Linked DNA regions of Mus musculus: region 2 is reported to be linked to region 1. The links are microRNA targets in miRTarBase. Many come from high-throughput screens and were not tested one by one. Region 1 holds a microRNA gene; the other region holds the end of a gene's coding sequence.
Evidence for each region. The annotated mature microRNA mmu-miR-878-5p reads UAUCUAGUUGGAUGUCAAGACA and lies in region 1 at 3,514-3,535, opposite strand. An mRNA with a match to its seed (bases 2 to 7 or 8) in the 3' UTR can be bound and repressed. Matches are read on the target gene's strand: a 7mer-m8 pairs with bases 2 to 8, a 7mer-A1 pairs with bases 2 to 7 and ends in A, and an 8mer does both.

Region 1 (5,073 bases):
GAACTATACACAACTAGAAAAGCCAGTATTGGGAGATGTCTCCTAACTCCCAGCACTCATGGAAGAACATTCCATTTGGTTGTCTAGTGCAAAACATTCATCCTGAAAACATACAAACAAGTAACACTATACAGACTTAGCAGAATATATTTAGGAATAAATAGCTATATAAAAATACATCAATACATTCAGTAACAATTATTGACAAACATCATCAATTTGAGGGAGAGCAGGGAGGGAAATATGAAAGTGTTTGGAGGGAAAAATAAGAGGTATAAATATTATAATTAAATTATAATTTAAAAATATACTGAACTAAATCTGTAATTTAAAAACATGTAATGATTGTTGTATCTGAATGTTTATAAATCTTGATGTGTCTGCAAGGTTAACATTAAAGAATAAATGCCACATGAAACTCAAGAAGAATGACACATGAAACTCAAGAAGAATGAAGACTGAAGTGTGGACACTATGCCCCTCCTTAGAATTGGGAACAAAACACCCATGGAAGGAGTTACAGAGACAAAGTTTGGAGCTGAGATGAAAGGATGGACCATGTAGAGACTGCCATATCCAGGGATCCACCCCATAATCAGCATCCAAACGCTGACACCATTGCATACACTAGCAAGATTTTATTGAAAGGACCCAGATGTAGCTGTCTCTTGTGAGACTATGCCAGGGCCTAGCAAACACAGAAGTGGATGCTCACAGTCAGCTAATGGATGGATCACAGGGCTCCCAATGGAGGAGCTAGAGAAAGTACCCAAGGAGCTAAAGGGATCTGCAACCCTATAGGTGGAACAACATTATGAACTAACCAGTACCCCGGAGCTCTTGACTCTAGCTGCATATGTATCAAAAGATGGCCTAGTCAGCCATCACTGGAAAGAGAGGCCCATTGGACTTGCAAACTTTATATGCCCCAGTACAGGGGAACGCCAGGGCCAAAAAGGGGGAGTGGGTGGGTAGGGGAGTGGGGATGGGTGGGTATGGGGGACTTTTGGTATAGCATTGGAAATGTAAATGAGCTAAATACCTAATAAAAAATGGGAAAAAAAAGAATAAATGCACCTTACTAAACTTTGGTCCTTTAGATACAAATGCCAAATTAAGGCCAGCAAGCTCTAACAAGGGTTAATGCTTCTATACCACAATGATGTTCCAGGTGATGAACATAGTGAACCTTCCTCTACCTTATATGGTGTCTATCATCATTTATGTTTTACATGATGGACAACAAATTAGGTAAAGCAGGGTACATCATACCTTTAATATAAAAATGTTGCAAATGTAGCTTCCATGATCCTCTTTATCTTTTAGCAAAGTACCAATTGTACATTGTTGCTAAAACTTGACATACTTTGTGTATAATATATATACATATATGTACACACACACACACAATCTACAAATTGTCACCAAAAATTCCTCCAAGAGAATATCCTCTGATGTGTCTTCTGTTTCAATTAATGGTATTCTCTACCAAGACAATACGGGGGACTGTAATTTCACTTATATAAGTTAGAATTTCTCGTTGAAGTTATTTTTCTTCCTCCTGTAACATGCAAGTATTAAAATAATTATTAGATTTGTGTGTTCAGCAAGGAATAACTACAGAACCCATAAAAATAGAAAAAGGCCACTGGGTAGAGAGTTGTGAGAAAAGCTTACTAAAAGGGTAACAAAACACAGGTGGTATGGAAGAGGAAAGGAGACTAATGGGGGGGGGCATTGTTTAACTGTGGAGCAAGGTAAGATTCTAGGATAAGTGAGGGAGTAGGGAAGAAATGAGTATCACAACTCTGTTTTAAATATCCATATAAGAACAATATATGGTAGATACAGTGACCTGTAGTTTGCGTAGATGATTGCCAACACTGTATCTGTAAAATTAAATTCATTTTATTAATTCATATGAAGAATAAACTAAATGTTTTGCACTTTTATGCTTACATACTTGTATATATTCATAAGGTGAGTACACAAATGAAATCTTCATTAAATATTGCCTTACCCAATATGGGATATCATCTTTTATGTTTCCCAGGGTGCACAGAAAATTAGCTAAAGCAGCATACATTATATGTAAATGTTGAAATGTTGAAATCTAGCCTCTACAATCCCCTTTTTATCTTTAGCTTGCATCAAGTTACCAACTCACATGATAACTAAATGCTAGTCTAATTTGTTCATGCATCATCATGGATTCCATCAAGAACCTATCTTTTTAACATTCCTCCAGCTTCAGAAGAATGGTTTTCACTAGCATGAAAGTTAGCTGACTGCCATTTTCTCTGAACCGTAGTATTTCCCAAAAAGATCATTTTTTATCCTTCTGTAGTCTGTTCACTCATCCAAGCTATCTAAGGTGAAGTGTAATACATTGAAGCTGAAGACTGGAAAACACATCTAATATGCATGCATGTATCAACCTCACCATATCCATACATGAGACATTTACAGGTACCAAAACTGGTGATTGGTGTGCCTTACTCTACTCAGAGAGGATGGAGTAACATGCAATAGGAAGTGACTCATATCAATCTGAGTATTGCAGTGCACACAGTTTGTTCAGTGATGTCCTGTGTCTCAGCTTGATCCCACAATCTTCAGTATATTCCAGCAATTATATAAATATAGTTAGATACATCAACAATACCTTATTTATTCATAGGTTTAAAAGGACTATACTGCACTTTATCTTTCACAACTCTTCATATTCTATGATCTATAGTATTTAACTTTATACATGTATGCACTAATAAAAGTACCTTATGTTAGCACCTTTCTTTACATTATTTAACATGAGGTTCATAAGATTAAGAACAGACTGTCCAAAGAATGTTAAAGAGAATTTAAGCCATCAGATATCAAAAATTCCTCTATAAATAGGAACTTCAAGTTACCTTGGTTACATACAGAGGCCATTATATGAGTTACTTGCTGAACCTTCCTTTAAGAAAATCCATGGTCATAAGGACTTCATCTCATCAGTACCAATGTTAATATAAAAATGAGCATAATTGTATTTAAGTAGACACTGTCACAAAAGCTTCCTTCATCTCCTGCCCATTTTATTACATAGTCATCAAACCACAATGTTTGAACTCTTCTGTAATTTAGGCTTAAAATCATATTATCAAACACCTTTAGTATGTGTTTCTCATACCATAAATCCTTTTACTTGCCTTCTTCTAAGGGAAATGACTGTCAAAATAAAGAGTGGAGGTTTTATAAATGTATTCATGTACTGGGAACTGTGTTAATGTACTTTATTTTTTCTTGTCTGACTTAAAGAGATTCTTTCTGACACTAACACAACATTCCTTATGTAAAGGTAACAATATAAATACACCTAGAAACACAATATGCATGGTTCTATTTCTGTGCAGCCAAACTAACAGCAGCATTCATTTATCAGCACTGTGACCACCCAAGCCCACAACAAATGAGGAACACTGTGAGCCCTCCTCTACCCAGTGTGGTGTCATGCACTTAAGTTTCACGTGTCTTGACATCCAACTAGATAAAGCATTGCACACAACACTCTTTTCATTAACTTGCTGTATAAGAAGCCTCTATCATACACTTCAGCTTTTATCAGAGACTAAATTAAAAAAAAACATGATAACTATCCTTTGACATAATTTGTCCATCTACTTTTGAGAATAATTAATCACTCTCCTTCACCACGCTTTTACATAAAGCATGTCCTGTAACTAACTTTCCTTTTCAGTGAATAGTTATACTATCCAGAAAAATAAACAGATTGCATCTTTGTATATTAAGATGATCCCCAATGACGATTGAAGTTACCGCCGTATCAATCTTGAGGATGTGTTATGATACAGTGCCTCCTGTGATCTTCAGTGAGTATATCACTAAGGCTGTTTTTGGTGAACATTACTCTATTCAGAAAAGACACAGTTACTTTAGAAAAGATGTGACTGTTATCTCTCTGAATATTGTACTGCACACAATTTGTTCATTGAGTATGAGGAATAGCATCAGCCTGTCCCAAACACCAGCATATTTCATATTATACCACACTCAGATTGTTAATATGAATGTTAATGTGACCACATATTCTAAAATCTCATTCCCAATCATATTTATGACAACCACAGGCCTTCTGACATACATTCTTACAAACTAGATGTTTTGGAGAATCAATAATATAATCTTTAACTAATTTTTATTTTTTATAGGGTATATACTTAATCCTGTCCTTTTTTTTATAATCTAAGACAATTAATGATTAAGAATAGGAATCAAAATAATCACAATGCCTCTTTCCTCTATCTTGTAATATACCACTATATTAAGTTTGCATGATGATGATTCTGAATAGACTGGGTTCAATTTGTGGTCATCCATGACATAGGATGCTATTTTCTAAGACTTAAACTATGCATAAAGGACACTGACATATAGGCACTGCAAAGAGAACAACTTTGCTGTATTTGAAGGTGATGATTCTTGTTATTATTATATCACTAGAACATTTATCAGTCCTGTGTGACTCCTGAACCCTGAATTAATTTATTCCTAACATATTTAATTGTGCTTACGATATGGTCATTCATCATGCATAACAAATGAAAGCCTTTGATCCTATATTGTTACTTACTTCGTTGAATCGAATGACCAATAATGCATGTTTATTTCATTTCCAATTTTTATAAGTAAAGTATTTTTATGTTGTCTAATACATGTGAGTCAACTGAACAAAGAATAGAAATAAAGTCATCATTAATAAACCCTATGAACTAGAAATATCACAGGACTACTTAAGATTATTAAAGACCAGCCAAAGAAATTAGGAGCTATCCAAAGGTCAATATCCAGAAGTTTAATAAAGTAATACACTTGGTGAAGCTTGCTCTTAAAAGAGTTGGTTGCATTTTACTCAATCTGGAACAACACTTTGCTCCCATACAAACAAGAACATTAATGTATAATGAATAAGTTATTCTGATTTTAAACTTTAAGGAGCATGGGATAAACTAGGAAACATACTTCTAGGTTTATCACTGAATATGCTCCTAGAACAATTAGCTGACTGGA
Region 2 (5,061 bases), not on the chromosome of region 1:
TCCCTCACCATGGCTTTGCAAAGATTACCCTCTTTCTTCTGAAATGCAACATAAACACTCAGTTAAAGTCTTTGACAGTGCCATCCTCCTTTCCACTGTGGGATGAAGAGGGTGTGTGTGTGTGTGTGTGTGTGTGTGTGTGTCTTCTTCCCTGTCTGTAACAGCACTACAGAACTGCCAGCCATTAGCTCTAAGATTTTTAATAAGGAGAAAGCTTTTTTCTTAGGACATGTGATCTGCAGAAGGTGTGGGCTGTGGCTTGGGTAAGTGCGTACAGTTTCATTATAGGGCTCCCTCGTCAAGGGTTTTAATTTGCATCAAAGTGGCAGACTAGGAAGGAGGTGGTGGCAGGGATGCTTCAAGAAAAATGTCAGTTTGGTTAATTAAAATCTTAGACCTTCAGGCTTCATTTAGCTAGAGTTCTAAGTTATGTGTTGTGACAAACAAGGCTTGAACTCAAGAAACAGGACTTAATCCTTACATTTCACAAGAATGCCCAATAAAGTGATTAAACATGAATTAGAAAATATTGTATGTATGAAAGAAGTAGCAAATATTGATCAGTTGCTCACAAGGAAAGCTTGGGATCACACACCTGAGGCTACTGGCCACATTTTGTATACAATCTTTTAAATGCATGCTTCTATTTAAATATAACTTTATTTAACATGTACTTGCCTGCTTGACATTGACTTCATGCCAATGCCACTAAAATAAAGCTTCTCTAACATTTATTTTCTATTTAAGATATATCACAGCTGTTTTGTTCTTGGGAACACGAGAGATCACTTAAGGTCACTTGGGGCCCTATAAAAAACGAGACAAACGAGAAAAGGCCTCCAAACACAACACAGGACCTAAATGTACTTTGAAGGCATATGTGACAGGATGCTAAAGCCCATGTTGTCTGCCATCACAGAAACCAGTGGTCAGAGACGGGAGCAAAATCTATAGCCTGTTGTACCCATAGAGCCAGCCTGAGAAGCCAGAGAGAGATCTGTCTGCTTTGTTCAACCGCAGTTAAAAGTCACTGTTTTGTGTGCCTGTACAAATGCCAATAAAAGCATCAGGAACACTAACTTGGGGATTACAAATATATTTTAGTTTGTGAACAAATCTACAAACATGCAATCCTACAACAATGAGACTGTGCATATGCATATATATCATAACAACTCATGAGGATACACATACGTAATATTTTCAACTGTATGTAGAAAAGGGAGTAGATGTTAAAATTAAAATTGATTAAGATGCACTATGGATGGAAAACTTTTTAGAGAAATGCTCATTTATAAGAACTGGATGTTATGTTTTGAACATCTTCTGGATAGAGTTGGATACCATGAACCTCCAACAGCCGTCTACAAGGAATCCCTGTGTACAACCCACACTTTGTCTCTTGATCTTACCTTATACCACAAGGTATCCAGAATGGGGATCTAACTTCTTTTTAATGAACAAGCAAAGCAACCTAGAGACTTAAGATTCTACATACTCTGGAACCTGATACCACAGTGTGCCAGGTCCTTTGGACTCAAGTATGGGCAGTCACTGAAAGCTGCTCATTGTCCTAGAGAGAAAATCTTAGGGCAAGGCTTTAGCTCTAGAAAGAATCAACTGTGTACTGTTATAGGTGATTTCCTTTCTCGGAATTCAGATCCACCAAAGAAAGGAGCTGAATGTTCTCAAGGCATTTCTTGGTATGGTGTTCTAGTGATGTGTGTGTGTGTGTGTGTGTGTGTGTGTGTGTTCTTGTGGCCAAGGGAGTATATGGTTGGATGCAAAGATGGGTTTTGGAGCCACCATTTTTAAGTAGAAACAGAACTTGTGTTAAGATTTCTAATTACCTCCCAAATGTCACATTGTTCCTTGTGAAGTCTGGAGTTGTTTGTCATGCCTGAGGGCCTGAAGCATTTTTTTTTTTTTGATTTCTCCAAATTTAGAAGTAACTTATTTTAAATGTTGGATGCATAACAAAAATCTGTAACAGCTTCATTGTCGAACCATCTTTTCTCATAATGTGGCCAAGAAAATAGATCTGGCTTTGCTAAGTGATATTAACTTTCTCCATGAAATAGGAGGCATAAGTGTGTACGTATCTTGACGTGTTAAGAGTGTCTTAATCTTACCCTTAATTAGTCTTGGGAAGACTGAAAAATGTAATTAACTTATTACCTTAGTTCTAGCCAGACGCACAAATATTCGCTAAGTGAAAAGAAGCCTGCATTTTAAAAATCGTTTATAAACAAGGGAGCACATAGGATAATGGTTTGCTGCTAATTCATATTTAAGAACACACTCCCGAGAGAGCACAGACTGAGGCCAGCTGCTAGCCTGAGATGGCCCTGCTCTAAGAACACCATTGGACATTCCCTCATTTCAGGCTTGAGCTGCTTAGACAGCTACACAGCTCCATTTACATCAAACATATAAACATAAGATACAACACGAGTAGGGAACCTTTTGGGAACTACGATTACAATTCTGTATGTTAATTATTCCATATGATAACAGCATACGCTTTTTACAGTGGGGTATCACAAACACATTGAAATTTACAGGAATGGTTTCTGGTTAAATCTAAATGAAAGGAGGATGATATGTTTAAATACAAGAAGGAGGCAAATTCTGTTGACATGTGAAGGGTACAGTGTCTACTGGAGAGGTTATTTGTGTCCTGGACAGAATAATGGTTCTCCTGTGTTTAAGAAGGTCTTCCTTAGTAACTGAGTTTAAGGGAGGGATACATATGGGGCTGTGAAGGAGGAAGAAAATACCTATCTAGCTAACCTGATCAACCCTAGTATTCAGTAGATGACATAATAATACAAGTGAATTCAGTCCTGGGGTCCACCAGTGCTTTGTTGGGAAGACTGTCTAAGACCACAGGGATGCTGAGGGTATGGGCATTGACTCTATCTTCTTGATTGCACTCTGTGACAGGGAGACCTTTATGCCTCACTATAGATACGCTACTTCAAAGATGAGTTTAGTGGTCTCTGATTCAAAGAAGAGGGATGAAAAGTGTGGAGCTGTTTCTCCATTCCAAACTCCCTCTAATGAGCTTTTCACGACCTCATTCTTCACAAAGGAAGAGGTGAAAATCACATCCACACCATGACTTCGCCGGGCTGATGTTCCTAATGATCCGTTTTCATTATTTCCATTTCATTACAGTGGAGACACACAGAGATGAGTCCTGGGGTTAGGACTTTTACCCGGATCTTTGGATCTCAAGTAGAGTTCCTTTTGTAAGTCGGAGTATGTTCTAGAAAATTGTCCAAATCATAGCAAATGGACAGATTATACTCATTGCCACTGGAAACCTCGGCTCTTTCTGTGTCCTCTTCCTCCAAGACCCCAGAGCCCTGAAATGCTTGGCATTAAAGTTATCCAGAACTGGATACATTTCTTGTGTCAGGAGCCTCCCATCTTTGCCCTATGGGCTTGATGAGATTTGATACATCTGTGGTAAAGCCTGTCCCCTTATTTTTCCTCATTTGAAATTACATCATTGCAGATAAGTACAGAATATCTAAGGAGATAACTGGTGTGGAGTGGGGAAAGTCAGTATACTATATGGACCCTCTTCCTATGAGGCCTTGGTCTCCCTATTGATGGAGTTATCCTTACATTTCTAGTATGTCTAGGTGCTTTATTCTATTGCCTTTGACAGTTCTGTGCAGAAAAGATACAGAATGAAAGAATATGTAGCATGACTCTGGCTAGTCATTTGTGACTTCTTTCTAGTGACCTGGATGGATGGATGGATGGATGGATAGATAGATAGATAGATAGAGCTGAATAACTCCAAATAGCTTCTATCATTTTTTGGGGGGGTAACTTGTTTTTGCACATAGCAGGTAATTCTCACATGTCAGCTCTTGTCCTTGAATAATTGGTTGGTGTGGTTTGCAGACAGAAGCATTCAGTCCACATCACTTGTTACTATTTGTGTCTGCCTTCTAAGATGTTATGCAGACATCAGTTGTGCTGTATGTTATTACATAGAAGCGTCCTGATACATTAGAGCAGGAGAACGTGAATACAGCCGTATCTTTCCATGTAGCTTGTGAGTGGTTGATGGTGTGTGATTTACTGAGTACCGAATGTTAAATTTTTCCTTGGGCAACACCTGAAGGCTACTTTAGTCTGATACAATCCACCTCTTCAGTGGCAGGCACCCCGCTGGTTTTGAGGTCGAGGTCAGCGCTGGACTTACTCCCGTAGTGAGAGGGCCGCCAGTGGAGCCGCAGCATCTTCTTGAAGTATTTCATGGTGTTGTTCTTGACCGTCACGAAGCATATAGTATTGATCATGCTGTTGCTCATGGCAATGCACTCCACGACGTAGAAGGCGGTGAGGTAGTGCTTCTCCTTCACAACTACCGTGGGGAAGAAGTCTCGCACTATGGTAAAGCCATAGAACGGCGCCCAGCACAGCACGTAGGCTGTGAGGATGCCCATGAGCAGTAGCACTGTCTTGCGGCGGCAACGCAGCCGCTTGCGGATTTGCTCCGTCTGGAAGCCAGGTACAGCCTTGAACCAGAGCTCTTGGGAGATCCTGGCATAGCACAGGGTCATAGTGACCACGGGACCCACGAACTCAAGCCCGAAGACGAAGAGGAAGTAGGATTTGTAGTAGAGCTGCTGGTCCACCGACCAGATCTGACCACAGAAGATTTTTTCTTGATTCTTGACGATAACGAGGATGGTTTCTGTGGTGAAGTAGGCAGATGGGACAGCGATGAGGATGGAGACCATCCAGACCAAAGCGATCAGGAAGGAAGCGGTCTGATAATTCATCCGTGGTTTCAAAGGGTGGACAATAGCGAGGTATCTGAAGGGAGAGGGAAGCCAGCAGTGATGGTTATATTTCGAAGCACGATTGCTTTTTAACCAGCCCGGAGAGCTGGAACCGCACAGTGAATCCCCAGCTGCCTCCGACCCAGGTTTAAGCAGCATTAGCTCACTAACAGCCCCACTTGGCTTTTAGAGCACTGATTTAATGGAAACAGCTTCTGGGTTAAAGCAATGGCTGTTCTCCCTTGCCTGACAT

Region 2: miRTarBase lists Prokr2 as a target of mmu-miR-878-5p. Seed matches in the 3' UTR shown: 7mer-A1 at 2,782-2,788.

The regions. Positions count from the first base shown.
Region 1 is chrX:66,798,041-66,803,113 of GRCm38, forward strand. It overlaps Mir878 (microRNA 878), which reads right to left and starts at 3,545; the gene lies at 3,468-3,545. Mir463 (microRNA 463) reads right to left here and starts at 1,257; the gene lies at 1,183-1,257. Mir880 (microRNA 880) reads right to left here and starts at 2,567; the gene lies at 2,490-2,567. Mir881 (microRNA 881) reads right to left here and starts at 3,981; the gene lies at 3,904-3,981.
Region 2 is chr2:132,369,249-132,374,309 of GRCm38, forward strand. It overlaps Prokr2 (prokineticin receptor 2), which reads right to left. Exons shown (of 3, transcript NM_144944.3): 3 at 1,081-4,842. The coding sequence ends at 4,146. Among named protein-coding and RNA genes, the nearest start is that of Prokr2, 14 kb to the right of the region's middle.